Linked DNA regions of Caenorhabditis elegans. The protein of the gene in region 2 purifies or fractionates together with the protein of the main gene of each other region. This does not show direct contact. Each region holds a gene or a part of one and is shown on either strand. Other genes may lie near its edges. The genes, in order: gspd-1, gpd-2, pgk-1 and aldo-1.

Evidence for each region.
Region 1: the proteins of gpd-2 (region 2) and gspd-1 fractionate together in Caenorhabditis elegans (co-fractionation; one large-scale study listed by BioGRID). This does not show direct contact.
Region 3: the proteins of gpd-2 (region 2) and pgk-1 fractionate together in Caenorhabditis elegans (co-fractionation; one large-scale study listed by BioGRID). This does not show direct contact.
Region 4: the proteins of gpd-2 (region 2) and aldo-1 fractionate together in Caenorhabditis elegans (co-fractionation; one large-scale study listed by BioGRID). This does not show direct contact.

Annotation. Positions count from the first base shown.
Region 1 is NC_003282.8:11,313,430-11,321,901, reverse strand, and holds gspd-1 (Glucose-6-phosphate 1-dehydrogenase), read right to left. Parts: upstream 4,484-8,472; 5' UTR 4,482-4,483; coding exon 4,356-4,481; intron 4,303-4,355; coding exon 4,096-4,302; intron 3,680-4,095; coding exon 3,604-3,679; intron 3,560-3,603; coding exon 3,307-3,559; intron 3,249-3,306; coding exon 2,947-3,248; intron 2,886-2,946; coding exon 2,748-2,885; intron 2,696-2,747; coding exon 2,494-2,695; intron 2,443-2,493; coding exon 2,266-2,442; intron 2,213-2,265; coding exon 2,125-2,212; 3' UTR 1,951-2,124; downstream 1-1,950. Other genes in the region: Protein edg-1, read right to left, coding at 1-485, 530-800, 850-962, 1,013-1,096; B0035.18 (Mitochondrial cytochrome c oxidase subunit VIc/VIIs domain-containing protein), read right to left, coding at 1,259-1,382, 1,434-1,582; pfd-4 (putative prefoldin subunit 4), read right to left, coding at 6,191-6,352, 6,426-6,557, 6,608-6,694; B0035.3 (Macro domain-containing protein), read left to right, coding at 6,935-6,980, 7,028-7,267, 7,315-7,436, 7,484-7,687; DnaJ homolog dnj-2, read left to right, coding at 7,926-8,043, 8,107-8,320, 8,365-8,472. UniProt on the Caenorhabditis elegans protein: Cytosolic glucose-6-phosphate dehydrogenase that catalyzes the first and rate-limiting step of the oxidative branch within the pentose phosphate pathway/shunt, an alternative route to glycolysis for the dissimilation of carbohydrates and a major source of reducing power and metabolic intermediates for fatty acid and nucleic acid biosynthetic processes.
Region 2 is NC_003284.9:3,111,819-3,118,947, forward strand, and holds gpd-2 (Glyceraldehyde-3-phosphate dehydrogenase 2), read right to left. Parts: upstream 2,872-7,129; 5' UTR 2,870-2,871; coding exon 2,630-2,869; intron 2,581-2,629; coding exon 2,452-2,580; intron 2,406-2,451; coding exon 1,749-2,405; 3' UTR 1,625-1,748; downstream 1-1,624. Other genes in the region: gpd-3 (Glyceraldehyde-3-phosphate dehydrogenase 3), read right to left, coding at 382-1,038, 1,086-1,214, 1,264-1,503; mai-1 (ATPase inhibitor mai-1, mitochondrial), read right to left, coding at 3,179-3,235, 3,538-3,747; spc-1 (Spectrin alpha chain), read right to left, coding at 6,126-6,254, 6,311-6,458, 6,505-6,807, 6,860-7,002, 7,051-7,129.
Region 3 is NC_003279.8:3,863,669-3,871,166, forward strand, and holds pgk-1 (putative phosphoglycerate kinase), read left to right. Parts: upstream 1-3,872; 5' UTR 3,873-3,883; coding exon 3,884-4,027; intron 4,028-4,082; coding exon 4,083-4,207; intron 4,208-4,253; coding exon 4,254-4,578; intron 4,579-4,629; coding exon 4,630-5,289; 3' UTR 5,290-5,441; downstream 5,442-7,498. Other genes in the region: hcp-4 (HoloCentric chromosome binding Protein), read right to left, coding at 1-394, 447-1,432, 1,485-1,607, 1,657-1,863, 1,913-2,119, 2,225-2,269; coq-4 (Ubiquinone biosynthesis protein coq-4, mitochondrial), read left to right, coding at 5,553-5,848, 5,903-5,989, 6,034-6,186, 6,237-6,396.
Region 4 is NC_003281.10:13,560,614-13,567,898, forward strand, and holds aldo-1 (Fructose-bisphosphate aldolase 1), read right to left. Parts: upstream 4,325-7,285; 5' UTR 4,307-4,324; coding exon 4,213-4,306; intron 4,113-4,212; coding exon 3,637-4,112; intron 3,398-3,636; coding exon 2,870-3,397; 3' UTR 2,733-2,869; downstream 1-2,732. Other genes in the region: T05D4.2 (F-box associated domain-containing protein), read right to left, coding at 1,311-2,154, 2,323-2,423; exc-12 (Protein PNS1), read right to left, coding at 6,341-6,533, 7,042-7,149, 7,247-7,285. UniProt on the Caenorhabditis elegans protein: May be involved in the metabolism of fructose-bisphosphate (beta-D-fructose 1,6-bisphosphate) and of fructose 1-phosphate.

The DNA.
Region 1 (8,472 bases), on a different chromosome or scaffold from region 2:
GAAGGAGTCAAAAGAACATTCTCAGCTGGTTTAGTTCTCGCCGACGTGGCATACTTCAAATTATCGAAGTTTTCAACAATTTTCACAGCAATTTCGCTCAAAACTTCCACTGATATCATGGGAGTTCTGTTCTGAGTGTAGAGTTCGCAAAGCACCACTTCCAGAAGTGGCCATGCAGACATCAACGAGGGTTCCTGTCCTGAGCATATCACCCTTGCGAGTTGTTCCAAATTGCTCCACTCTTCGTCACTTGTATCCACCCAGCGCTTATTGAAAATCAATCTGCGGAAAACCAGAGCCATGAGTGATTCAACGCGATCGGTTTCGTATTCAGTGTGATATATTTTCAGCGGACGATCGAAGAACAATTGTGGCACTTTTAGGCACACATTTAAACAAAATCCAGTGATTTCGAAGTTCTTGAGGCATCGAGTGAAAATGTCCAGAAGAGTGGTGACTGGTGAGAAGAGCAGGTGCCAGCGCAACTGAAATATCAATATGAACTTTGTTTCAAAATTATAAATCCAACCTCTTCCTGAACATCGTCGTCGACCTCTTCAGGATTTTTGACAATTTCATCCAATAATCTCGCAATTTTCTCCCTGAATCGGGGAACGAGTGTTTCGAAATATGGCGTATAATCAATTTCGTGATATTGCCATTCCTTAACGAATTGCTCCTGGAAAAACTGCTTGCTCGGCTCCGTGAGCATACTGTACAGTTTACGCATGAGCAGGATGTAGTCTTTGCTCAGTCCGACGTCCTTTTGAGTTACACCTGCTTGGAAATACTGCATCGCACTGAAAATTTGTATAAATGAGGTTATTAAAGGTGACATTGTTCACATACTCCATTGACAGGTTAGAGGTGTAAAAGTCATAGACGAGGAAATCGGATCTTCTGTCCAAAAACTGCTGAACTCTGACCTTGTTCACATCGTACTTCTTGTAGCTGTAGAAAATCTGAAATAAAAAATAAAATATATTTATAAGCTAAACAATTGGAAACTCACATCCTCCAGCTCCTGCACCCATTCTTTGTTCATATCAAGAGTTTTTTGATCAGGCAGTTCGTACGAACTCTTATTCTCGACCATTTTTATCTATAAAGGGAGGTTTTTCGTGGATAGAAAATTTTAGATAAAAATATATGAATGTGGTACAAACCACAAAGTACTGATCAAGAATAAAACAAATAACTGAATAAAGAAATGATAGACTTTATTGACTTGTATTATTATGAATAATTTATCAAACATTTAGTGCTCGGCAACAACTTTCCCTTTCTCTTCGTACAATTTCGCCAATTCCTTTGGACAAGTATGCATGTACCCCTTGTTAGCAGAACAAATCTCTTTCATTCGAGTGTACGAATCGTAGTTTCTGCAAGTTTGCTCGTTGCCCGGGAGACACTTGTGCGAGGATCACACTGACGCGAAAAACTCTTCATATTTGTTGTGACGTGGCCAAACGTAAAATGCGTTGAATGCGGCAGTCGAGACGACAGCGACAGCAAGTGAAACGTAAATTCCACGTTTTCCATATGATTGGAGCATGTTCCGGGTAGCGGAAGCAGCAACCATGGCTGAAAAAAAGAATGAGTAATACGATGTGCAGCTAGCAAGAAAAAGACGTAAAACAAGAAAGACGTTTTTTTTTAAATCAAAGATATTGATACTTTAAAACATTTGTGCAAAAATGATGGGAAATCCGATGGAAAATGATAGAAATCCGAAGAAAATATGATTGAACTTGAACAAGAATTGAACAATATGATGATGCGCGACGCAACACGCGTCGCACGTCCACTACTGTAGAAGTAGAGTGTATGCAGAGTGTTTGCGGACTGGCGCACCGTAACCGGCTTGTCGAAAAAATGATTATTTTTTGAATACAGATTATTTAAAATAAGCCTTTTTACTGGCTTATCTTATCGTTCTACACTTCTTTTAACTGAAAACGTATTTATTTTCATTCATTCAATAGAACATTAACAAATGAAAAAAGAGCAGGAATAATATTGATGTGGAACACAGGAAAACATATGAACTAGTAGCTGCTGAATTTTTGAAGTTATTTCTACAAACATTTGAAAGAGAATGAATAGAGGAAGATCTGGTATCATTTATAGCTTTGGAGCAACCCATTTGTATGTTCCAGTGAAGATGAAACCGTACTTTTTCATCAATTCGTCACCTTCAGTTGGACCACGACTGAAAAATTGGATTACTGTATTTAATTTTAAAAAAAAAGAAACACAACCAACCTTCCAAATTTATATTGAACCGGTTGAACTTTCTTCTTTTTAAGCTCTTCGAGAACTGGCGTCAAAATACGCCAAGCGTATTCAAGCTCATCAGTTCGAACGAAATTAATTTGAGATCCCATGAATACTTCGAGAAATAGGCGTTCATAAGCATCAGGAAGACGGACTTCTTTGAATCTGAAATTATCACAATGAAATTTTTTTTGAAGAGAAATTTCAAAAACTAACCTATTATTATAAGTCAAATCAAGTTCAGTTTCTTCAACACCGAATCCCATTCCAGGTTTCTTGGTCATCAGTTTCATGTAAACTGCCTCATTTGGTTGCACTCTCATCACTAATTCGGATCGCTTTAATTCACCAGACGGATAGATATCTCCACTGACTTCTTTGAATTGTATACGAACTTCTGCTTTCTTCTCGTTGAGAGCTGCAATAATATTGAAATTTAAAAATTCGGTTTTTTTTTGTATATTCCCTACCTTTTCCACAACGCAAGAAGAATGGAACACCCTCCCAACGTTCATTATTGATGTGAACAACAGCAAGAGCATACGTTGGAGTAGTCGAATCGGCTGGAACTGATTTGTCATCTTTGTATCCTTGTGATGCTTCTGGGTCTAAAATTAATGTATTTAAAAATCAAAACTTTTATAAAATTGTAATTTTTGAAAAACTCACGATCAAATTCAGGACTGGCAATGTATTGTCCAACTACTACATCCTTTAATTCTACAACTTTAGCAGCTTTCAACACTTTGACCTTTTCATCACGAATATCTTCAGCATTCAAACTTGCTGGTTTCTCCATGGCGACTAAAGTTAGAATTTGCATCAAATGATTCTGCATAACATCACGGATAATTCCAGCTGTATCAAAATATCCAGCACGGCCACCAGTTCCAAAATCTTCTTTAAATGAGATCATAACTGATGCAATGTGATCGCGGTTCCAAGATGGAGCGAGAATTCGGTTTCCAAATCTGAAAGTTCAAAATAAAATTATAAATCTCTTCAAATACTTTGAAAAAACATTCTTACCGCATAACCATCAAATTCTGAACCATTTCTTTTCCGAGATAATGATCAATACGGTAGATTTGATCTTCTTTAAAAAGTTTCGCCAAATGAGTTGAAAGTTCACAAGATGATTTCAAATCATGTCCAAATGGTTTTTCTATGATAACACGTGTCCATGAATCACCATGATCCATACAATTCTTCTTTAATTCCGTAGAAACCACGTTGAAAACTGATGGAGGAAGAGCGAGGTAGTAGAGACGATTGACGGCTTCTATAAATTTGCTTAGATTGAGTGAAATTTAATTCTAAACCTACGATTATTGCTTTCTTTTTGGAAATCATCAATTGAAGATTGAAGGCGTTGGAATCCTTCAGAAGTGTCGTATTGGCCCTGAAAAAATGTCAATGGTGCTTTTTATGTTCAAAGTTTCTAGAAAAAAGCTTCGATTCAAATTTTTATTACCCAGTAACAAGATTTTGTGCGAAAAATACGGTAACCGGTCTCGACCCCACAATTTTTGTTGAATGCAAAAAAGTGCGCGCCTTTAAAGAGTACTGTAGTTTCAAGTTTTTGTTGGTTTTCGTAGTTTTCCTACCTGATTTGTAAAAAAAATGTATGTGTTGCAATTATTTTTTTTCAGTTTTAAAACAATTTTTTTAAAATCTGAAATCGACAAAAGCTTGAAGCTACAGTACTGTTTAAAGGTGATACGTTTTCGCATTTAACACAAATTTGTGGTGTCGAGACCGAGCACTGTATTTTTGGAACAAAGTTTCACGCCTATTTATTAGCAGATGTAGATTTACCTGAACGTATGAGCACTTCTTGATGAAGTCATCAAAAGCACATTTCTCATTTTCTCGAACTTTACAGTTTTTCTCAAAAGATTCACGAAGCTTGAAAACTGTCAGATCGGAACGGGCATATCCAATAAATTTGATGTTGACTGGCAAAAGGTTGTCACGGAACAACCACCACAGTGTTGGGTATATTTTCTTTTTTGCGAGATCTCCCTGAAAAAATGTTAAATAATTAATAATCGATATATATGGAATAGATGTCATACCGATGCTCCAAATATCACGAAAACGTACGGAGTCTCAAATTTGAGATCTCTTTGCATTGATTCACGAAGACACTCGACGAGATCCTTCGAAATGGGATCGGACACTGAATGACGTTTGCATGCCATTTCTGTAAATTTATAAACTAGATTTTGAAGTGAGAATGACGAACATTGATTCACAAAAATTACTCGTGTTGAGAGGTAAATAGTAGAAACTACAAGTTTCAAAGTAAACCATCTAGATACACATAAATGTTATTTAAAAGTGAGATTATTGTTTCATTTATACAACGAAAAATCAAAAAGAAATACGTTAATTGATATATTGATGTACTTCATAATGATTCTGCGCAATTCTTTTTTACTGGCAGAGTAATAAACTGCTTACTTTCAGCTAGTTACATTTAATGGAATAATGTTAATTTCTAGCACTAAAAAATGTAATTTTTCCTTTCGAATCATATACCTAGTAGCGAACCGCAGTCTACAATATAAATGAATTGGAACAACTGGAACAACACTATAAATCGGTCACTTTTTACTCCACTTCCATTTTTTTCACAGGGCAGCGAGAGAAGAAAGAAACAGTAAGAGAAAAGTGGATGCGCCAGTCTCTTTACAAACATGAAAATATTTACTGAAATCTTCTCGGGTCACAAAAAATGATGACTGAATGAAATTGTGTAGTGTGTGCGAGTGGTAACCATGACAAATAATGTTCTCTGGGCGACATTGATCGACAATGAAAAGAAACAATGTATTTCTCTAGGAAACATAAAAACTCGAGTAACTTGACTCTGGAGAAGAGACGAAACTTTGTAACTCTAGATTTAATCTATGGTTCTTGACTTTTAGTTGACCGACTAGGATATTCTGGAACACATTTTTTTTGGATTTTATCTGGAAGATGAATTCTTCGAAGACTTAGTCTATCAGAGAAAAAACTAATTTCGTTTTCAGAAAACAAATCAAAAATCACTGAACTTGAAAGTTTATCAATTTGATTAACGTCTGATCAGTTTACCAAATTAACAAGAAGACAAAGAAAAAGAAGAATGAAAACTGTTCTTTGCAACTCCTAAATAACTATGCATTTTCAACCATAAATTCTGCCAATCGGGTTTCATTTGGAAAACGGAGCACACGAATGGCCACATTTATTTGTGTCTCTGCCGATCATTTTTTTAGAAGGTGAAAAGTGCAAACAAAATATGAGGAGAAAAAAACGGAAAATGCTGACAAAACTTCGGAGGTGACAAAGAAAGAAACGGATAAAAAAGGTGAGAAAAGAAAGGGCAGACAAATTAAATGGACAGAAAGACAATCGGGAAAGAATGTTGCCAATTTGGGAATATAATTAATTTTCAAGTATTTTTTTAAAGAGAAATTGAATATTTTCTGTTAAATTCAAATATTTAGAATGCTACATTCTAGCCAGTCTATTGTGGAAATCATGATAAGATTGTCTGAAAGATAATGGATTTTTCCAAAATGCTATTATATTACGTGGGCGAGCGTCTCCTCTATAAATAAAGAGCAATGGGAAACAAAACATGTAAACTAAAATGAACACCAAACACGAAAAAACCTTCCTCTTCCCGTCCACTATATTGATATTTAGGATCTGGTGTGACCCACAAGTGGGTGGTGCCATTCGTGATAAGGAAAATCGGTCGAAAAAATTCATCAGCAAAATACGCGGAAACAGTGAACAGTGAGCACACGTTGTGAAAAAGGTGAGAAAAGCAATTTTTAAATTGAGATAATTTTTATATATGAAAGCTTCAACGGAAAAGATACAAAATCGAGCAAAATAAGAAATTAGAATTTATAGATTATTCTTCAGCGTCCAAATTGATCTGATCTCCGAATTTGGCGTACAAAACCTTCTTGATTTGCTCCATGTCCGCTGAGATTGCATCCAACTCGGAGGTTTTCTCAGACAAAACCTTCTCTGCTGTTGTCTTCTTTCCTTCCAAATGCTCATTCAGACTATCCTGAAAACCAATCACTACTTTCGTGTAAACCAAACGTTAATTCTCAATTCAAATTAAAAAAAAAACTGCTCACCCCATTGAAATGAACGAAGCAGCTTCCAATTCTGCATGGAATTGATGCTGAATCCTCATCATCGAGCAACAAAATTTCATCACTTGCTTCATTGATATTGTCAATGAGTGTTTTAGCTTCTTTAACGTCTGCCTGAAATTAAAGAAGAGAAACTTTAATGTAAAATTTAAAAAAAAACGTACTTTTAACTGGGTTTGTGTTTGGTATGACCGAGCGAATTTATTGAGAAGCGCTTGGTCTTCAGCAGAAACTTTCGTGTGTTCCGGCATTCTAAATTATTTTTAATTCAAAGATTTAATTAAAGAAACAACGAAGAAACAACATTAAAAGATATTAAACAGAAAATTCTGGAGAGAGAAACATAAAAATAAGAAAACTCAGCCACGGCCGCACGAAATTCTAGTCCATGTTGCGTGTAGTCCTCGTGAACAATTTCTTCCACGCGTTGTTTTATCCTAATTTGTTTTGTTTTTAAGTCACTATCAGTTCAAATTTAAGGCTGATAAAAAATGGCAGCAGCTAAAATTTCAGAAATTCCAACTCTCTTTGAAAAATGTAAGCTTCAGGCGTTTCATAATTCTAAAATAGTACACAATTTTCAGTCAAGGTTGCCAAAAACGTTCTGGGCCGTATCAGTGTCTGGGATGGAGATATTACTAAACTTTCCGTCGACGCAATTGTCAATGCAGCAAACAGTCGATTAGCTGGAGGTGGTGGCGTTGATGGTGCAATTCATCGTGCAGCTGGACGGAAGCAACTACAGGAAGAATGCCAGCAATACAACGGATGTGCTGTCGGAGATGCTGTCATTACCTCTGGATGCAATATTAATCACATCAAAAGTAAGTATTTATAGCATTGTTTGATCGTATTTTATTGGAATTTTCAGAAATAATCCACACAGTTGGTCCACAAGTATATGGAAATGTCACAGATGAACGGCGTGAAAATCTTGTTGCATGTTACAGAACATCACTAGATATTGCTATCGAGAACGGGATGAAGAGTATTGTAAGTGTTTCATCTGAAAAATAACTGCAAATATTATATATTTTCAGGCCTTCTGTTGCATTTCTACTGGTGTGTACGGTTATCCAAATGACGATGCCGCTAAAACCGTCACCAATTTCCTGACCGAGTATCTTGAAAAGAATGATACAATTGAACGGATTGTACTTGTTACATTCCTTGACATTGACAACGAGCATTACAATAAGTATTTCGGTGATTATGCTGCATCAAAGGATCAAAGTATCGCCTAAAACTTTCTATTGCACATTTACTGTACATGACTATTTTTATTTTATGTTGACTCCATAATCTCACTATCAGATCGGTTTTGATCCGTAATGTTTACATTGTTTCCGGTGTTGATTGCTTCATAAACATGTCACATTTCACCTATGATTATTTGTGTTTTTCTCTCATTTTCCGATTTTCGGTGATTCATATTTCAGTTCTCATTTTTAAATTTTTTCTCAATCTTTGTTTTTCAGCAGAATGCGCTCAGCAATTGCGGCGCCCATCTTGTTCTTACTAGTATCATTTTTCGTCCAGGAATGTGAATCGGTCGGATTTGCTCCAGAGCTCTATTGTGGATTAGAAAACTGTTATGATGGTGAGTCAAAACTTTCATGAAGATCTGAAAACGTTAAAACTATAAATGCATTCATATTTACAGTACTCGAAGTCAATCGTGAGGAATTCGATAAGCAGAAGCTAGCTAAAGCATATAGAGCTCTGGCTAGGAAGCATCATCCAGATAGAGTCAAGAATAAGGAAGAGAAGCTTCTCGCCGAAGAACGTTTCCGAGTAATTGCCACTGCTTATGAAACACTTAAGGATGATGAAGCAAAAACTAATTACGACTATTATCTCGATCATCCTGATCAAAGGTATGACGCTCTGAATATGAACACTTAAATATTCTTTATTTAAGATTCTACAATTACTATCAATATTATCGTCTTCGCGCCGCTCCAAAAGTAGATCTTCGAATTGTCATTGTTGGAACTATTCTTATCATTTCACTCTTCCAATTCCTCTC
Region 2 (7,129 bases):
AAGTATCCCAAATGACTCTGGGAAAAATGTTAGCAAAGTGACAATGTGCCGACATTTTGAGTGCACATTGCACTCTACACTGGACACTTCTCATCGCTTCTCAATTTAATGTAAACATAGAGGCTAGACGGAAACTTAATCGGGTTTGTATGACGGACAATCACAACGAAGAATATAAATGAGTGTAAACCTCGTGAAAGGTTCGAATTCAACGTTTCAAATTTGATATAGCCATTGAAAAATGCTTTCTATCCAACAACACAGTTTTAGTTACTCCAGCTAAAAGATTTATTCTTATAAAGAAAATGAGAATCAAAGTTACAATAATGTGGAATTTATTATGTTACAGATTCATTTCAGACTTAGAGAATTTGAAGCGGCTTAGGCCTTGGTAGCAATGTAGGAGATAAGGTCGACGACTCTGTTGGAGTATCCGAACTCGTTATCGTACCATGAGACGAGCTTGACAAAGTGTGGGTTGAGTGAGATGGATGCTCCGGCATCGAAGATGGAAGAGTTGGTATCGGAGACAAAGTCAGTGGAGACAACTTGATCCTCGGTGTAAGCGAGAATTCCCTTCATTGGTCCGTCAGCGGCAGCCTTGATAACCTTCTTAATGTCATCGAGGGAAGCTGGCTTCTCAAGACGAGCAGTGAGATCAACAACAGAGACATCTGGGGTTGGGACACGGAAAGCCATTCCGGTGAGCTTTCCATTGAGCTCTGGGATAACCTTGCCGACAGCCTTAGCGGCTCCAGTAGAGGCTGGGATGATGTTTTGTCCAGCTCCACGTCCGTCTCTCCAGAGCTTTCCTGATGGTCCGTCAACAGTCTTTTGGGTGGCGGTGACGGCGTGGACAGTGGTCATAAGTCCCTCAATAATTCCGAAGTTGTCATTGATGACCTTGGCAAGTGGAGCAAGGCAGTTAGTGGTGCAGGAAGCATTGGAGATGATGTGGTCGTTGGCATGATCGTACTTCTCGTGGTTGACTCCGACGACGAACATTGGAGCATCAGCAGATGGAGCAGAGATGATGACCTGAAATTTAAATATATTTATCTTGAAAAATTAAATCACTAATTTACCTTCTTGGCTCCTCCCTTCAAGTGAGCATTGGCCTTCTCGATGGTGGTGAAGACTCCGGTGGACTCAACGACATAGTCGGCTCCAGAGGCTCCCCATTGGATCTCAGCTGGGTCTCTTGAGTTGTAGACCTGAAATTGAATAGAATATTAGGTGAAATCTAATTGGAAATAATTCTACCTTGATCTTGTGCTGGGACTTTCCTTCCTTGGCGACAAGAAGGTAGTCTCCCTCGTGGGCAACGGTTCCCTTGAAGCGTCCGTGAGTGGAATCGTACTGGAACAAGTAGACCATGTAGTCGATGGAGATGAATGGATCGTTGACGGCAACAACATTGACACTGTCCTTCTCGACAGCGGCGCGGAGGACAAGACGTCCGATTCTTCCGAATCCGTTGATTCCGACACTTGGCTTGGTCATGATGCGTTGAAGCAGTTTCCCTGAATTAAAATTAGAAGTTGAAAATACAATAGAAAGAAAATTGGAAGGTATATAAACTCGCAAAAACGAGGAAATGGCAGATTCAATAAGATGAATAAATATACAACCTTTATTGAGAAGAGACCATTTATATACTTGTAAGCTTCTAGGAAAATTTTAGATACTAAAGAGAAGCATAGATTTTAAGACAAGCAGTTAACTAGGTGAAAGTAGGATGAGACAGCTTAGGCCTTGGTGGCGATGTACGAGATGAGATCAACAACTCTGTTGGAGTATCCGAACTCGTTATCGTACCACGAGACGAGCTTGACGAAGTGTGGGTTGAGTGAGATGGATGCTCCGGCATCGAAGATGGAAGAGTTGGTATCGGAGACAAAGTCGGTGGAGACAACTTGATCCTCAGTGTAAGCGAGAATTCCCTTCATTGGTCCGTCAGCGGCAGCCTTGATAACTTTCTTGATGTCATCGAGGGAAGCTGGCTTCTCAAGACGAGCAGTGAGATCAACAACAGACACATCTGGGGTTGGGACACGGAAAGCCATTCCGGTGAGCTTTCCATTGAGCTCTGGGATAACCTTTCCAACAGCCTTAGCGGCTCCAGTAGAGGCTGGGATGATGTTCTGTCCAGCTCCACGTCCGTCTCTCCAGAGCTTTCCTGATGGTCCGTCAACAGTCTTTTGGGTGGCGGTGACGGCGTGGACAGTGGTCATAAGTCCCTCAATAATTCCGAAGTTGTCATTGATGACCTTGGCAAGTGGAGCAAGGCAGTTAGTGGTGCAGGAAGCATTGGAGATGATGTGGTCGTTGGCATGATCGTACTTCTCGTGGTTGACTCCGACGACGAACATTGGAGCATCAGCAGATGGAGCAGAGATGATGACCTAAAAATTTAAATATATTTATGCACAAAAGTTGATTACAAGTTACCTTCTTGGCTCCTCCCTTCAAGTGAGCGTTGGCCTTCTCGATGGTGGTGAAGACTCCGGTGGACTCAACGACATAGTCGGCTCCAGAGGCTCCCCATTGGATTTCAGCTGGGTCTCTTGAGTTGTAGACCTGAAATTTAAGAGAATGTTTAACAAAATATGTTTGGAAAATATTCTACCTTGATCTTGTGCTGCGACTTCCCTTCCTTGGCGACAAGAAGGTAGTCTCCCTCGTGAGCAACGGTTCCCTTGAAGCGTCCGTGGGTGGAGTCGTACTGGAACAAGTAGACCATGTAGTCGATGGAGATGAATGGATCGTTGACGGCAACAACGTTGACACTGTCCTTCTCGACAGCGGCGCGGAGGACAAGACGTCCGATTCTTCCGAATCCGTTGATTCCGACACTTGGCTTTGGCATGGCTGAAAATTGATACTACTACAATCAGTTCAACTAACATACAAACGACAAATAAAAATAGAATGATCGAAATGAAAATCGAATCAAATTGAAGAGAGAAGAATATGAAGTGAAGCCATAAAAACCATGTTTACTATTTGACGAAACATGTGCAGTAAGCGAAAAAAAAATGATGCAATAGGCAAGATGAAGAAATGCGGTGTGAGAGAGAAAATAGAGAGGAGAGAATAAGTATGCATAAAAAGAAAGGGAAAATTGAAAATGATGATGCAAAAAGAACAGAGAGCCGTTTGAAAAGCCCTCTATTTTTTATGTTCCGTGTCCTTTCTCGATTTCCTTCAGTCGTTGCTGATGTTGTTCGAGAACCTGAAATGAAAGTATTGAAGAACGTTGAAAGGTAGTGGAAAACAAAAAAAAAGAGATTGTTTGTGAAAACCAATCTATCTCTTCATTATGCTCGCTAGTCGCCCGTCTCTCTAACATATCAAGGTCAACTGTGTAAAATAGAGAGATTCGAAAGGAGTCCCCGGTCTATTTTGAATCAGTTCTAGAACACGCCACTTTCGCAGATAAGAGTTTCGGCAGTGTCATGTGACACATCAAAGAATAACGAGTTAATCAACAACAATATTTTCCTGCGTGTTTTCCTTAAATGGAGTGTCTCGTACCTTTTCATGATCCCGAATTTCCTGTTGGCTTTGCGTCATATCTGCTTCAAGCTTCTTCTTGAGATTGTCCAACTGATCTTTTTGTTGTCTTCGGAAGTATTCTTCTTCTCTGGTGGCGCCCATCATGCCGAGTGATCCACCTGCTTCACGGATTGAGCCGCCGGAGCCTCCACCATGTCCAGCACCACTTCCACTTCCAGATCCTGACATCTGTTTTGATTTCCTGGAAATGAACTAACTGGATTATATGAGCATGGCTCCAAAAGTAAAGAGAAGCGAAAGAAGAAAGCTGTCAAGAAGACGTCGAAGGGAGCATGCCTTTTTTATTTCTGAGAAGAAAAAGAAGAAAAGCAGCTAACACACACACACAAGTTTGTAGCACGTAAAGTAATCTTGAGTGAGAGCGAAGGGCGAAGGTGATGCAAACAGGCCCTCCCAAAACAAATTTCACAATGCGAGTGGCGTTTCGATGGCCGGAGACCGAGGACACTGGGCCGCCCATTTCCAAACGGCAATCGATTTTGTTTTTTTTACACACACATCAATATACACGCACAAACATTAACTCACAAACACACACACACACCGCACTCTCGTGAACTGAACGCACAAAACGTGTGTGTGTGTCAGTAAACTCTGATCTAGTAGAAAATAGTGCGTGTGTTGCAGAGGATTTAGAGAAAGGGTCGAGAAGAGAGTTTCGAGCCGCCCGTGAATTGATATCATAAACAATTGAAGACTTTGAAACATTTACAACATTTGACCTTCGAGAAAAAGAAGAACGAAATAAAATATTTACTAACCTCAAAAGTCTTTGTGAGCAAGAGCAACATTGGTTTCCGGTGAGCTCCTTGAAGTCAAACTCTGTTGTGTTGTTTCCTTAGAAGGCAGGGCAGGGTCGCTGTTTTTTTAGGGGAGCCGCCGTGGCGAGGCGAACATAGAGAGTGAAGGGAGCGAGGCGGGTAGCCTCAACTGATGCATAGAGAGAAAATGGGCCAACTGCGAGTGCGACGACGGCCTAGCCAGCCGGCACGAATCGATGGAGATGCCGACGTCGCCGACACACGATTGCTGGCCGTTGGCACGTAGGCAACGGCAGTGTAGTAACAGGAAAAGAAGAGATTTGAGGAGTTGCTCTTCTTTTCGCTTGGAGCAACTCTTTTCCAACCCGAAAGTTTTCAATGATAAAATATAGAACAACACGAAGATGAAAAGGCGCAGTCGCTAGTCAATCGTTCTGAAGATCAAACTAGTGGCCGGAGTAAATGGGAGGAGTTGGAAAATAATCAACGAGAAAAGTGTTTTTCATTGACATCAAAGAATGTTTTATATCAGTTATCACTGATCACTAGTCACTAGTTTTTTCAATTTCTGAAAGAAAATCTAATTTACTAATAGACACACGATGAATCAGAATTTATTCAAATGTATCTGATCAGTTGAATACGTGAGATCTTTTATAAAAGCTAATATCAACCAAAAGTTCAAAATCACTTCGAGATCAAAACTCTAATGGCATATGTTTGAATGCACGAAGTCAATAATTCTAACAGGCGAGAGTGCTATAGTTTTCTCAAAAAGTGGCAAAAACTCAGGAATTTCCACTTTTTGACTGTCAATAACAATTTTTCAAAATTTAATGTATCATAAACGTGTAATGTAATAACTTACCAAAACATGCCTAAACAGTGTGTCATCTTTACCTCAAGTTTAACCAAATTATTATATTTCCAACACTATATTTTAAATAATAGTTCCTATGACAAAGTTTGTGACGTTCATTGAGAAAAAGTTGCATAATTCAGGTTTTTTAAAAAACCCACTATCTTCTATCATATTACGAAAAATCAACAAATCAAAAGTTCAAACTTGGCAAATTCGTTGAAAATTTTCCGGTTTTCTCGTTTCACTAAAAATTGATGTTTCAATGACATCAAACAAAAACAACTACCTAGGAAAGCGAACTGCCCACAAAAAACAAAAAATAAGTTTTTTATCAGTATTCGATACAATCTGATAACATCCTTTATCGTGTTACCAGAATGTTCTCTGTACCTATTGATTAGTCCAAAAAACATCGCACTTGGCAGCTATAAATATTTATTCCATAGTTGTCGTTTTTCATTAAAAGTAAATAGGCGAAAGCTTATAATAAAGAAATCAGCAATGATTTTGGGTGGAGTACAAAATGAAAAGCACATCAAAACAAAACATGACCGATTTTCTGACTGGAATGGAATAAAGAAATCAGTGTTTTTGTTTAGGGACATTACATGAAATGGCAGGACTTTATTCGGAAAGGAAGAGAAATCCATTCATAAAATAATGAATAGTTTGTTGCATAAAACTATTAATATAATGCTATTGTGTTTTGCTTTTGTGAAAGATGGGATTATAAAAAGACAGTGACAAAGTAAAAATAAAATATTCAAAGAAAAAGCGGGGAGGGCAAATAAGCGTACAAATTATACTTTTCCTTTTGCATTTAAAACGTTATCTGGGAGTATTAATAAACTGTTGGATGGAGGAACAAGTGACCAGTGGTAGGAAGAAACGAGAAATTTAAAATCATATGACAATTGGCGAGATTAGCTCTGGAACAAGGCATGCACAAACTGCTCGTAGTCGAGACCACCTTGGATGGAACGACCTGAAATGGCGTCCATGTATGGCTTCATTCTTCGTATGCAGAATTCGGCTTGCTCCGGTGTCAGGTTCTGAAATGAAACAAATTAAATATTTATAATCTAGGAAAAATATTCAAAAATCCTACCGCGTAGAGCTCCTCTGCCGTGACATATGGTCGGAATTCCTTCGAAAGAGCTCTGAATGCCATCTCGATTTCTTCCGAAGACTGGATGTTCTCGGTTTCTTTGCTGATCATGAACGCCATGTACTCTTGCAGAGTTACGTAACCATCTCTGTAAAATAAAAGTTTAAACTTTTCCCGATTCAATCTAGATTTACCTGTTCGGGTCGACAATATCCAAAATTCTCTGGAACTCGGGTTCTGGTTGGCCTTCGTCCACCATCGGCAGATCGTATCCAAGAGCTCGCAGACAACTCTTGAACTGCTGGTGGTCGAGTCTTCCAGTTTTCTCCTTGTCGAAGTGCTTGAACATCATTGAGAACTCACGAAGGGCTTCTTCCGATACTCCAGATTGATTTCTGGCTTGAATCTGTTGTTCCAAATTGTGTTGCATTCGCATGGCTAGCTGATCCAATTGATCCCAAGCTTGCGCAATTCCTACTGTCGAATGTTCAGTATACCTGGAAAATGTTGAACTTGTTAGTCTTTGTGGGCAAGCGAAATTGTGTTTACCTATTGTCTAGGATAAGGTTTCTCTCCAACATAGCACCCTTCTCTTCAATCTGCCGCAGCTGACCTTTGTTCGCCTTGATTTCCTTTGCTTTCCTCTCAACAGCATCGAGTTGTTCTTCCAATGTACCTCCAGCTTCCATCATCTAAAAAATGCATACCTTAACAAAAGTTCTACAATTAAATGTCTCTACCTCCTGTCTGGTATTTGTCAACCAAGCATGGAAAGCATTGGCCAACTTGGCAAACTCGCGTCGCAATTTGTCGTTCTCC
Region 3 (7,498 bases), on a different chromosome or scaffold from region 2:
GTTCAGGGAGCGATTGCTTGAATCTGCTGCCTCATCCTCACCATCGACAATCACACCACCATTTTCAGATCTTTTTTCAATGACCTCCGTCGCCTGATCCTCCTCATCATCCTCCAAAACCATGCGAACAGCGGCTGAAGAAGTTGTAGCAGTAGTCTTCGCAGGCGTATTCTTTCGTGAAGTTTCCTCAAGCAAACGATTAGCATCTTTCATATTCATCCTTTTGACGAGTGAAGCGAAAGTAGGCTGTTCATATCGTCGTGCCGGGGTCACTCGATTCACAGAATCAACGATATCCATCCTAGTCGGTGTTGAGAGCAGTGCAGCCCGAGCACATTCGACATTGTTGGTGGGTCCAATATTACGGATAGAATTATCCGTGTGCCGAATCGATCTGGAAAATGGAGAAATAAGAATAATATTCCGCAATTCGAAAAAAAACATACTTTGGAGTTGCGGCTTTCGATACATGCATTGGCTCCACTTTTTCTGGAACTTCTGGAACCGGCGAAACTCGAGATGCATTGAATGTTGGAGAGATATAAGACGAGCCAATAGAATCCGCTTCCATTGTTCGTTCTTCAGCTACCGATTCCATCTCAATCGTTCGCTCCTTATTCGATTCAGTACTAAGTCTGCTGGTTGCCTTGATTCGTGGCGGCGTTTGAACCACCGGTCTGATCTTTTTTCGGGGATGTTTGAAGAAGTTGGCTCCCGGCGATTGAATTTCTTCCTTTTCGAGCATACTGTTGTGAAGAGGATTAGAAATACTGGCATTACGTCGTTCTCGCTCATCCGAAGTGACTTTCGACGTTCTCCGTTTTTCTCCTCCTTCCATCGTGTTTTGTGCCAGTACTGGAGGCTTCACACCAACACTCGTGGTTCCTTGCTCGTATGCATCTCTTTCTTCAATAATAAACGTCTTTTGAAGAGTTGAATCGTTATTTTCATCTCTGTTAGCTACGTTGAAAGTTCTTTGAAGTGATGACTCATCTTTCTCGGTCGGCTTTGTGAACGTTTTCTGTAGAGAGGAGTGTTCTGCATCTTTAGCCACTGTGACCGTTCCCTGCATTTCCGAGCTCTGATTCTTCTCGATCGTCACCGTTTTCTGAAGTTCTTCAGGAGCATCTTTAGCCACCGTGAAGTTTCCTTGCAGCTGAGAGCTTTGATTCTTCTCGATCGTTACCGTTCTTTGAAGCTGTGATTGCTCTTTTGATGCATCTTTAGCCACCGTAAACGTTCTTTGCATTTCCGAGCTCTGATTCTTCTCGATTGTCACCGTTTTCTGAAGTTCTTCAGGAGCATCTTCAGCCACAGTGAAGGTTTTTTGCAGCTGAGAGCTGTGATTCTTCTCAATCGTGAGAGTTTTCTGGAGTGTTGACTCTCTCTCCTCGAGAATGGTTGGGATAACGACAGACTTGGTGTGAACAGTCTGAAACGATATAAAAGTTAGTTTAAATATCTTTAAAACAAACAAATTTTACCACTCTTTCAGCATCTAGTCGATCGGTATTGACGACATGTGAAATATCAAGCGATCTCAAGGACCTCATCGACGTATCACTCGAGCTCTTGGGAGTTGAACAACTTAATCCAGCTTTTCCACTCTGAAATTATAGATTTATTAAACTATGAACACGCAAATTCATCTCATACCCCTCTGGAATTAGCAATTGGCGAGCCCATCATCGACTTTTCACTGATGTGTTTCGGAAGCGCCGGAATGGCAAAAACCGAAGCGCTTCGGACATTTTGATTCACAGTGTTCTCGCTGTCGCTCTCACATTCGGAGTATTCACGACAAGCAATCAACTCTTTGAAGGTTTTCGCTCCGTACATTTCCTTTTCGAGACGTTTTCTGGCCTGAATATAGTTTATTAGGTGTTGAAAAGATTTTGTGACTGAAATTTACATTGTTAAGCTGTGTTTGTTTCCTTTTCTCCAAAATAGCGAACATCTGCTTCTCAGATAGTCCCTGTTTTCTCCATTCTCGCTCCTCCAAATTTGCACTATCATTCATCATCGATTCATCGACGATAACTGTTGGTTCCTCCAAGTACGACGGTCTTGTATCGTCCAAGCCAGCCTCACGAAGAGCAACGATTTCAGTGATCATTTTCTGAAATAAACAAAATAAGTAAGCAATCAAATTACCATAATGTGGAACTTTTTTTTTGTAAAAATCAAACATTTGTTAAGAATTTTAAAAATCTGAATCACTTACTCGACCAGGAACAATCGTACTGCGGGTTCGCGGTTTTCGATTCATTCTGCAATTTGATATCGTTTTGAAAAAAAGACAATTTTAAGAGGTGAATAAATATAAGCAAACTTCTCGATGTCAAATGGGAGCTAAATTTGAAAGTGGCGGTTTTGCATTGTACAACGGAGCGCGTTTGGTTAGAGGGGGAAGGCTACGAGAAGAGGATAGAGGAAACGTATTTATTGTTTTCTTTTCGCATTCAAAAGGCAAGAAGGTATTATGAGCCAAATATTGATTGATTTTAAGGGAGAAAGACACAGACTTTGTATAAAATAATAGCCGAACCAAGTCAAACGCAGTTTTGAAGAGAGGCCAATCGATACGCTTTGGTGAAATAAAGAAAAATGAATAATACTTCATCGAGATCTATTTATGCTTGTTTTCACGAATTTCAACAAGGCCTCCACGTCCCTAACAGTAGAAAATACTAAACGCAGAATTTATTAGTAGTTTTCTAAATAAAATTCGTGCAATATTAGTTGAGCGGTAGCTCTTTAAAGTACATATTGATTTCAACCAAGTTCTTCGAAAGTTATTTCAAGCGCGTTTTCATTTTTTTTTCTAATGATCCGCAAGAAAATAAAATTTTAAAACGAAAAGAGAAAAATAGAATAAAATCAAAGCCTAAAAATCAGACTCTAAAAATGATTTTTCCCGCCTGTCGGTATCAAGTGTACGGTATTCGTGGTGAGACCCGCGCCCCCGCGCAAAAAATTTTGAACTTTTGCGGAGATGTTTGCACAGACAGCATTTAACTTAACGCAATTTTGCATGCTTTCTATACTTTCGAACATTTATTGAGACCCGAAGAACTCGGGGGATGTCCAATTGGGGGGATTACCAACTCGGGGGATTGGCCTCACCCACAGAACCGTGGTTTGCAATACGCCCATTTCTGCAAATGCCGCACGGTTTTAAAACTGTATTTTTCTCAATAGAGCGAGAATTAACAAGAAAAAATAATTTTAAAACCGTGCGGCAGTTGCAGAAATGGGCGTATTGCAAGCCACGGTTCTGTGGGCGGGACCAATCCCCTGGTAATCCCCCCAATTGGACATCCCCCGAGTTCTTCGGGTCTCCATTTATTTTTTGTTTTTGCCTTTTTGTCTTACAATTTTGAAGGTTTCCCTTCATCGATTTCATCCAAAATTGAGAAAAAATGTTTACAAAATGTATTATTTTCATTTCTTCCAATTTTCTAATTCAGATTTTCCCTAAAACATTTGTGATTCTTGATTTTTTACTTTTATCTATATGAGTGACGTTGTTTTGACAGCATATTTGATCAAATTTCTAGAAATGGTTTGTTTTATCACTACTGTTCATGCCTTCTTAATTTCAAATGATCTTCAAACATTTATATTTGTGTTTTCGGTTATTCTTCATGTGTTTTTTATTTGATTCGTTTCAACCCATCCAAATGCGCGGTCTCTCGCTCGATCTCTCGTCTCTCTGCGTTTCCAGTGTAAAAGAGAAAGGCGAGCAACAACTTCTATCATTTCTCACGTCGCTCGTCAAAATAGTTGTCTTGTTTGTTTCTCAATTTTAACATTCTCTCCTGTTTTGACCATCTTTGAAATTTTTGAAAATCAATATCAAACAATTTCAGCATTCAGAAAAATGAGCTCCCTCAACAAGTTGGCTATCGACCAGTTGAACCTCGCCGGAAAGCGAGTTTTGATCCGTGTTGACTTCAATGTCCCACTCAAGGATGGCAAAATCACCAACAATCAACGTATTGCTGCCGCTGTTCCAACCATTCAGGTAATCAATTCAAATTTATTTCAAACAACATTTTCAATAATATTCAAAATTTCAGCATGCTCTTAGCAACGGAGCCAAATCTGTCGTTTTAATGTCACATTTGGGACGTCCAGATGGCAGACGCCAAGACAAGTACACCTTGAAACCAGTTGCTGAAGAGTTGAAGGCTCTCTTGAAAAAGTTTGTTGTATAATCTGATTTTAAAAAAATTACAAATGATTTTCAGAGATGTTCTCTTCCTCGACGACTGTGTCGGATCAGAAGTGGAGGCTGCATGCGCCGATCCAGCTCCTGGATCAGTCATTCTCCTTGAAAATCTTCGTTATCATCTGGAAGAGGAGGGCAAAGGAGTCGATGCATCCGGTGCCAAGGTTAAGGCTGATTCAGCAGCCGTAAAGAAATTCCGCGAGTCTCTCACCAAGCTTGGCGATATTTATGTCAATGATGCTTTCGGAACCGCTCACAGAGCCCATAGCTCCATGGTTGGAGTCGAGCACTCACAACGTGCAAGTGGATTCTTGCTCAAGAACGAGCTCTCCTACTTTAGCAAGGTAATTTTTTCCTCCAATTTTTCATATTGAATTTTATTATTAAATTTTCAGGCCCTCGACAACCCAGCTCGTCCATTCCTGGCCATCCTTGGAGGAGCTAAGGTCGCTGACAAGATTCAGTTGATCAAGAACTTGTTAGACAAGGTTAATGAGATGATCATCGGCGGAGGAATGGCCTATACCTTCTTGAAAGTTGCCCAGGGAGTCAAGATCGGAAACTCTTTGTACGACGAAGAAGGAGCGAAAATTGTGAACGAGCTTCTTGAGGCTGCCAAGGCAAAGGGAGTTCAAATCCATCTCCCAGTGGATTTCGTCATTGCTGACAAGTTCGCCGAGGACGCAACCTCGAAGACCGTCACCGCCGAGGAAGGTGTTCCAGATGGCCACATGGGACTTGATGTTGGGCCGGAATCTTCTAAGATCTTCGCCGCTGCCATTCAACGCGCCAAAACGATTGTCTGGAACGGTCCAGCAGGAGTATTCGAGTTTGATAAATTCGCCACAGGCACCAAGTCATTGATGGATGAAGTTGTCAAGGCCACCGCTGCCGGAGCCATCACAATCATTGGAGGAGGTGACACTGCGACCGCCGCCAAGAAGTATAACACGGAAGATAAGGTGTCTCACGTCTCAACTGGAGGTGGAGCCAGTTTGGAATTGCTCGAAGGAAAAGTTCTGCCAGGAGTTGATGCTCTTTCGCCAGCTCAATAATTTTCTAATTTCTATTGTTTATTCCTTGCCCAATAGTGTATTTGTATTTATTCTTTCTCTCTCTAAAAACTTTCCCACATTAGTCTTGAATTGTTCCCAGTGATTTCACAATCTTCCATGTAACATGAAGTATAAATAAAGTGTATAACTATAGAATAAATTAAGAGTTCACTTAATCGTAGAGTTTTTTAATCGTAGAGTTCCGTATATCTACCAATACATTATAGTCATTTTCCAATTGAAAAAAAAAGAAAAGAAATCAGATGTCTGCTCAAAAGCTATACGCATCGCATGTTCCCTTGGCACCGCTGTCTCGGATGCTTCTCGGGATTGGATCAGCAGTAACAGCGATCTCGGATCCAAAAAGAGGAGATATGGTGGCAGCGATGGGCGAAACTACTGCAATTGGACCAGTTTTAGAAAATATTCGAAAAAGAATGGAATCTGATGTTGTTGGAAAGCGACTTCTTCTCGAAAAACCAAGAATTTCAAATGGAACAATTGATAGAAAGTGGCTAAGACAGTTACCGGATGGAACATTAGGAAAATTGTATTCAAAGTATGTGAAAGTATATTAAACAACAAAAAAAAATTGAAAAACTTCAATTTTCAGCTTTCTCGATCGTTTGAACACATCTCCAGATGCTCGGCCCACTGTCAAGTATATCGATAATTTGGAGCATCTTTATGTTATGCAAAGGTTTTAAAAATCGACGTAAATAACAAAAAAATTCAAAATTTCAGGTATCGCGAAACACACGACTTCACCCACATCGCATTGGAGCAGAAAACGAACATGCTCGGCGAGGTAACAGTCAAATATTTCGAAGGAATTCAATATGGGCTTCCAATGTGTGTCACTGGTGGAATATTTGGAGGTGCCAGGCTTTTAACAAAGTAAGCAGAAAGAGAGACGAAACCATGAAAATAAAATTTAAAAATTCTAGAAATCGCCAAGAACTTGTCGACCGGAACCTCCCTTGGGTTGTGGAGCAGGCCACGAATGCACGATTCTTCATGGCTTTCGACTGGGAAAATCACTTTGAAAAGCAGCTCAGCGAGGTGCAGAAGGAGCTAAATATAACGCCATTATCTGTGAATATGTGATATAGATTTGATCTTGAATTTCTCAGTGATAATGAAAAAATGAATTAATTAATTTTTTTGGACCGGACATTAAATTTGAAAAATTTGGACCATTTAACAGTTACGGTATTACGATAACACTTAAATTCTGAGAATGCGTATTGCACAAAATATTTGACGAGCAAAATACTATCAAAATTTATGAATCGATCCTTCGATTTTGCAAAAATCGAAGGATCGATTCATAAATTTTGATAGTATCCCGTAGCGAAAACTACAGTAATTCTTAAAACTACTACTGTATCGCTTGTGTCGATTTTCGAAATGGATTTAAATATCGATAGAATACTAGAATTAAGCAAATATTAAGAAAATAATACGAAGCAACGCATTTTTTAATTTCGAAAATATTTCTAAATCGATACAAGCGCTACAGTAGTCATTTAAAGAATTACTGTAGTTTTCGCTACGGGATACTTTGCGTGTCAAATATGCTGCGGAATACGCATTCTCAGAATTTTGTGTTTACCGTAATACCAAAACGTTCTGCGACTGGCAGTTTAGTCAATTTCTTTGGATTTTGATAATTGTGTGATTTGTGAGAAAGGATTTATTGTACATGAAACTGAAAAAATGGAAAGAAACCGGTAATAGAGGCAAACGGGCAAGTTTTGGATGAGGAACGACGGGGGAATTGTGGAAAAATAAGCGAACTTCTCAATTATCGAATTTCAGGAGCTTCTGGACCTCCCGGAAATGGAACCGGATGTCCCTGATATTCTCTTCAGTAAAGGACATCCGGGATTTTGGAGAGTCCTCCAGGCGGTTGATATGATGATTTAAAGTAGCAACTTTCCTAAAATTATATTATAACATTGATTAGGAGGTGGCTTGTACAACTTACTGTTTTAGCACGTGTCTCAGCTTCTGCCGCATTCTCTTCAACTCTTTGGCCGATTGTCCAGTTGGGTTGCCATTGGGTGCCGTTGGGCGCTGGGGGTGAGTGGGAGCCACCCAGCAGTGGCAGAGGATGGTATTGTCAATTGTTTGGACTTTCCAGATGATGAGGGCCGTCGCGCCTAGCCAGGCTAAAAAAATATCTTGAGTGAGGAAAAAATTGATA
Region 4 (7,285 bases), on a different chromosome or scaffold from region 2:
TTTTCTTTGCACTCTTGACAACAATGTTTAAGAAAACACAAAAACTTCGCGGCCTAATTTCAATAAAAACACAAGAAACAAGTGTCTCCATTTTCTTTTTCGACTGTGTCATGGCAAAATTCATTTTTCTCTCTAAAGTCATGTCGCCGATCATGTTCAAGGTTTTTCGGTTTAAATGACATCATTTTTAATTGAAAGTGTAGCTTTCTGTGGAAAAAAGTACATAATTGACTCATTTTTCAAAAAAATATATTTAAAAAAAAACTAAAATATGAGGTAGAAAATGAGGAAGCCGTGCGCAACGCGGGGAGAAAATAGCGAAAGTATTCGGAATCGGGTCATGATTCGGAAGAGAGAATATCCCAAGGATTTTCTCTGTTTTCTCTACGTTTCGTGGCTATATTCTCTCGATTTTACGGTTTTTGCCGGCCTATTTACTGTAATACTTCGGATTTAGCACGGAATTCTCTAATATCTGAATAAAATTGGGGCTTTTCTTGGAAATTTTACAAAAATTACGGCAAACATTTAAAAGTTAACAAGTTAAACTCAGAATGACTTGTTAAATCATCAATAATGCCTCGAAAACAAATTCTCAAGTTCGACAAAGAGGAAAACTACTCGGAAATGCAGATGCTATCTATTTTAAACAGCAAAACGGTTATAAAACAACGAAAAGTACATATTTTCACAATAAAATAGAGAAATCATAGAAAAATGAATGAAAATCGAAGAAAATGGAGAAACAAAGCCTGAAAAGGTTTAAAAAAATAAATGTCTTGCTCGCAAATAAAGTTCGCGACGAGACCTGATTTGTAACTTTGAGCGATGCGCCTTTAAAGTGTACTGTAGTCATTAATGTTATGAAATGCAATACAATTGGTATTATTTATTTTGAAAGTGATATAGAATTAAAATTTTTAATTAATTAAAAAAAATACCAATTGAACTTAAAAGACCCTAGAAAATTTTAAAAAACCCGCTAAAATGCTTTCGTGAAAAAACCTGTGCTGAAATAGAGAATACAGAAATTTTTTGATCGTGTCGAGACCTGATACCGTATTAAACGAATTTTTAGTCAGAAATTGAAAAAAAAACGCTTCACGTTGCAAGAGTAGGTGAACATGTTTATTGTAATAAAAGGATATTCAGAATTTACACTTTTTGGCATATGTGAATTGAAATAGTAAACTTTAAGAAGAGTGTTATATCACGAAAATTAAAAAGAGAAACATACATAGCTTGTTTTTCGGAAAGCATAAATACAATGAAAAAAATATCTACTATTCGCCAAAAAAATATTTAAAATTTTATCTCATTATGAGCTTTTTCAGTCCATTTTTCTCCAAGATGTAGAAACAGACTCTCTTTTCATTATCCCGCGTCAGAATAACGTTACCCTTCGCATCAATCACATGAGGTAACTTGCTAAGAACCGCCTTAGGGGACTTGATCGGAGTCATCAAAGAAGTCAAATTCTCATTTGTTTCCATTTTCATCCAACTCAAAATGAACGTGCTTAGCTCCTCGTCAGTGAAATCAGTGTCGTTTGCGATGATATCAGTGCACTCCAGCTTCATAAGTTGCTTGATGCTAATCCATTTTGTTTGAGAGCTCAAGAAGTACTTGGCGCGGACTGGGATGTCGTAAGGAAATATTTCAGCGGTATCCAAGTGGAACTCGACGCTATCGGTGATATTGACAGTTTGGAGTAAATAGAGCAAATCTTCATTTACCACATTGCTCCCGAAAATGTTAACGTCTGGAATGTCCTTTCTAATTTTGGCAAGCCAATCGATGATTTCTCGGTTTTGCTGGGGAAAGGCGTCCAGTGAGAAGTTGATCGTATGAATTGGAAAGTCTAGTACATTAGTTACGTTCTCCGTCCACTTCTTTAGTCCTTCAATCTTATCTTCTGAATACATACGCGTAGTGTAAACCTTGAGAAATTCAATGACTCGCATCTCTCCAGGAGTTGGCGGAGCATTCACGGTAGATTGGATCTGGTACTCCCAACAACGGTCTAGACCCTTCACACGAACACGTGGCTCAGAACAGATATCGACTGCGATTTCATAGCATTGACAGTGGTTATTCTTTGTGTATGAATGGGCGGAAGTTAGGTGCTCCGGGGATTTTAAGGCATAGTCCATCCTGGAAATGTTTATATTGGTTTTGTTTGATTTATTCGTTTGACTTTTAAAAATCTCGGTTAGTCGATTTCTGAAGATCAAACAACTTGGAAAACAAAAACAATCCAACGACAGGGTGTAACACATTTACTATTGGAAATTTAGAAAATTTAGTTTTAAAAACACTTACATTTCAAAAGGGTTCTTGGCAGCCAAGGTATCCTTTTCAGTTGGCGGACCATAGTACTTGGTATAGAAGATCTCAGATCCTCTCACTTCGCGGTAGTACATTGCAATGGACAAATGAATGGCTGTAATGCGTTGCGAATAGTGTGCAACTGGTTAGATATCGATCTGAAAATGTGCATCGCACCTGCCCAAGGTTAAACGGCTCCACTGGGAAATTGTTCTCTCGCACTTACACTAGGCACCTTCTGTTCTCAACAATTGAGCAGACACATAAACCTACAAGGAATAGTGAGTAGTAGAAGACATCTTGACGTCATCACTATGAATGCATCGCGACGAGCCATCGCTCAATTGTCTGTCTGCTTGAATCAAATGTTCCAAAGATACATCTCTCTTTAATTGTGCATTCGTATCTACCAAAGATTTATTAAATCCGAAGAGACTTAGAGAAGCAAATAATGACAATTAAAGGGGTATACAGACACATAATTCTACGTGCGTTGAATAGTTTTAAAAAATGAGAAAAAAGAGATCCTGAGCGTGGCCATTTAATAAGAATGATTGGCGACGAAGAGGGATTGGGAAGCGGCTGCGTCAGCTGAAGCATCCCCGGTGTATTTTCCGACAGAGGCAAGGGAGTTGACCTGAGCACGATGGAGCAGGACTTCTTGGGCGGCTGCGATGTTCTCGTCCTTTCCGGCCCACTTGGCGAGACAGGAGGCTTGAAGAGCACGTCCATAGGAGAATGTGAGGGCCCATGGCTTCTTTCCGCTCACTTGATTGATGGCGTTCAAGTTCAATGTGGCATCCTCTTCGGATTGTCCACCGGAGAGGAAGACGACTCCTGGAACGGCGGATGGGACTCCGCGTTGGAGGGCGGTGACGGTGGCGAGTCCGATATCGGCATTCGATGGCTTCTCGCCGGTGAATGATTGTCCGGAGGTGACCATGTTTGGCTTGAGGAGGGTTCCCTCGAGGAAGACGTGATGCTCGTTGAGAGCGTGGTACACATATGAGAGCACGGTCTCGGTGATCTTCTGTCCGCGAGCCAAGCAGTGTTCACCGTCTGGGAGGATCTGAAATGATAACTAATTAGAGTGCCAATTATATTTTTTTTACAAAAAAAAAACTGCTGCGAGACCCAAGTAACGGACGTGGCATTAACTTGGGTTTTGCATCGAATATTAAAATTTTCTGTGAAAACCGTTCTAAGTATTACATTCAAGCCGATCTACGACTACATCCCCCCAAAAGGAACTTAGGTGGGTAGGTACCAGTGCTGTGCGACTCTCGGCTCTCGACTCTCGGTAATTACCTCTGGCTCAACAATTGGTACAAGTCCATTTTGTTGGCAAATTGAAGCATAGCGAGCCAAGTTGGAGGCAATTTCCTTAAGAGCAGTCACTGATGGAGTCGTAGATGAGATCTTGTGCACGCATCTCCACTTGGCGAACTGTGCTCCGTCTTTCTTGTATTGAGCGCAACGAGCATTCAAGTCATCCAATCCCTGAGTGGTTCCCTCTCCGATGGTTCCGGCCATTGGGACGACACCCTTGTCAACCTTGATTCCTGGAATGATTCCTTGCTCCTGGAGAAGAGCAGTGAATGGCTTTCCGTCGTCGGTCTTTTGGTAGAATGTCTCGTGGAACATGATGACTCCCGAGATGTACTTGTTGAGGTCGGCTCCGGCGGTAAACAGAAGTTGACGATACTTGCGGCGGTTCTCCTCGGTGTTCTCGAGTCCGATGCTGTTAAGACGCTTGTCCATGGATCCGGTGGACTCATCGGCGGCTGCAAATTCGAATTTCAGGGAGATTGGAGAGATTAGAGATTAGATTTGTAACACACAAAATGCCAAATTTTGTTTCCCAAATTTAATATCGTTACTTACCGAGAATTCCCTTTCCTGGGGTGACGATGGCGTTGGCGATGGAGCGGAGTTCGTCCTCCTGGGCCTTGGTCAAGAATTGCGAGTAAGAAGCCATTTTAGAAAATGAAGTTGCCTGAAAATGTGCAAGAGTGAAGTCGGTGAAAAACAAGGGCCGCTGATAAAAGTGAAAAGAGCCGGAGCTTTCTCTCTCGCGCCAAACGAATCGATGGCACCGCCGAGAAGGGAGACGGAGAGCCCCTGGCGAGAGAGCAAGAGTGTGTGAGAAGCCGTGCAGAGTGGCGAGAGGGAATTGAGGGGCCCTACGTGATTTGCACGAAATTTTGTGAGAAGTAAAAGAAGAAGAACTGCTGTTGGAGCAGAACGTGAGAAATAGTTTGAAGAAGCGAGAGGAGCAGGAATTGCCAAAGTCTTGAACTTTTCAACGTTGGAGGATTTGATTTGATTTGGTTCACGGAAGCGTGCGGAGATATGAAGATATGAAAGTTGAAATTGCTTTTCAGACATATGCCTCTGGCGTACTTAGAGCAGCCGGGCTATGAGCTCGAGCCTAGTTTAGGACTCATTGGAGTAGTCTGAAATTGAAATAATGTAAAAGAGATTACGAAATTTGGAATGATGCAATCGTTTTTCAGAGGAATCGACCCTACTTGGCACATTTTGTTTTTTTTTTTTAATTCGAAAATGAGCCAACTTGCCCCTACGATAAAAACACAATTTACCTAGTTTTCCAATATTATAGGGTTTAGACCACATAGTTATATTTAAAAAAAAACTAGAGTAAACTGCATTTTCGTTTGCCATATTCCGTAACTCGCTCTGTATTAATTATCAAAATAACTCAATTTTGTGTCATTTTACTCAATTTTTGGGGACAAAACCAATGGTTTTGGTCAAAGTTGTAATGTCAAAACTTTGGCATGTGCGGCAAATATCGAAATTTGCAGAGCTCGGAAAATTTAACAAATCTACTTTTTTGAAATTTGTCTTGCTCGGCAAATTCAGCAAAGTTACCGAGCTCAGCAAACGGCAAATTTGGCAAATTTGCCGTATACCCCTGCTCTGTTTATTCCCTGGGCATTCTCGTAAGACCTATAAGGCTACTATAAGTACGAGAACATGCGAGGCACGTACTAATAAAACAATTCAAAATCTACGACAAATCATGACAAAAAAAAACAAGAAGAGGATCTTATGTAAAACAAGCAATACATCTATGTATTCATTTTTGTAAATAAAATGAGCTTCTATGTCAAAACTATAACATGGGTACAACAAAAAAGACAGCGAATAGAAAACGACGTGATGTGAAAAAGATATTTTGAGAATGGCTATGTGCTTTTTTGCGTGAGATGGCAATATGGAGGAGGCATGATGCAATTGTGCGAATAGTGAGAGTTTAGAGAAAACGTAGAAGGGTTATGAAATTGTTTTTTTTTCTTCATGGACCCAGAATTTGAATGTGCACAAAGAAAACTTAACCATTGGAAATTTAGGTAGAATGCCTTGCAAAATCTATAAAAGCAACATCTTATCACGACTAACATATATATTCTTCTAATTTTCAGAGTTTGAATCAGAGGGGATCCGGAAATTTCAATTTCGGCAATTTGCCGGAAAAAATGGTTTTTGTCAAAATCTTTGAAAAAAAAATATTGGGAACTTAAAAAAAAAAGATGTTTGAAAAATGCGGGAAAACCGTAGCTCGGAATTGAGAAAAAGTTGTTACTGGCAAGTTTTAGAAGCTTTTGGAATGTAAAAAGTTTTAAAATTTTAACCAAGCGTATTCTCAATTAGCTGAAAATTTAAGCAATTCCAAAAAAAAAGCAACAAACTGTTTTGAAAAACTCGATTATCGAAAAGCTCTTCCTGTATATAGATAGATGAGAAGTGTAAGACGAACATAGAAAAAAGTATTTTCTCTAGGTAATGCTCTATCTGGCCATTTCCCACGTGAAATGCTCATGTCTGTCAAATGTTGACCCATAGTTGACAGTTGTTCTTTGTCTAAATGAATGTGGCCAATATTTTTGAGTTTAGAGTAAAATAAAAATGAAGAAATAGTTTTATTTTTTGAAAGAATTGGAGAAAAAGTGAAAAAGGGGAAGAGCGGAGAAAGTTGAGCAAACGTTCAAAACGCGGTTCTCTCGACTCGATTGCTGCCACTGGGATTTCGATTGTTGTCAAGTAAAAGTAAGGAATTCGTAGAACCGATTGACGAGGCAGAGAGTGTGGAGATTGGAGAGACGCAGAATACAAAGACAATCAATTGAAGGACCAATACGAGTAGTGACACCACTGCACACCCGTTTAAGAGGACTATTCTGCAAGGTTTTTTATTGGTTTAATTTTGAAGAACTGAGTTTTCTTAACTTTGGACAAGAGATTTTAAAATTGAAAACCAGAAAAGACGGTTTAAAATTTGACTTTTGCACCAATTTATTTTTGAATTATTTCAATTTGAATTTAGCGCAAAATTTTTTTAAACTGAAATTTGTAGCGATAAAGTTTTGGAAAACTTAGAATTTAAATTTTATGTCTAGTATTTTTTTGTTGAAAATTTAAATGTCCAATTTTATGCCTTTGCATCATCTTTTCTGAAATATTAAAATTTTAATTTTGCACTGATTTTCATGATTCTTCTCTAAAGTTAAAAAGTTTCACTTTTGCGCCAAACGTTCTTAAAAATAATTTTTAAAAATTAAATTCTAAACATTTTCGGATTTTTTTATTTGCTGCTGGAATGATTTAAACAGTGCATTTTAGAAGTCCCTTCAAAATTTCCCGAAATGCTAGAAATTCTAGTAAAAAAATTGAGTTCCCAAAACTCACCCAATTTCAATAGTAGATCCGGCAGTTTCAAAACTTTTCAATTCGTTAAAAATTGCAGAGATCCGTTCAGAAGTGAATAGTTCACTAGATATTGATAATATGCATATTCTGAAAATAAATTGTAGAAATTATAAAAATTTCAACAAAAATCTGGGTAAAATTTAATTAACTGAATAAAATTTTAAACAGAAAAAAACGAACGTACCCTTGGCCAATTATAGCAGCGAGCATCATTTGTGAGCAG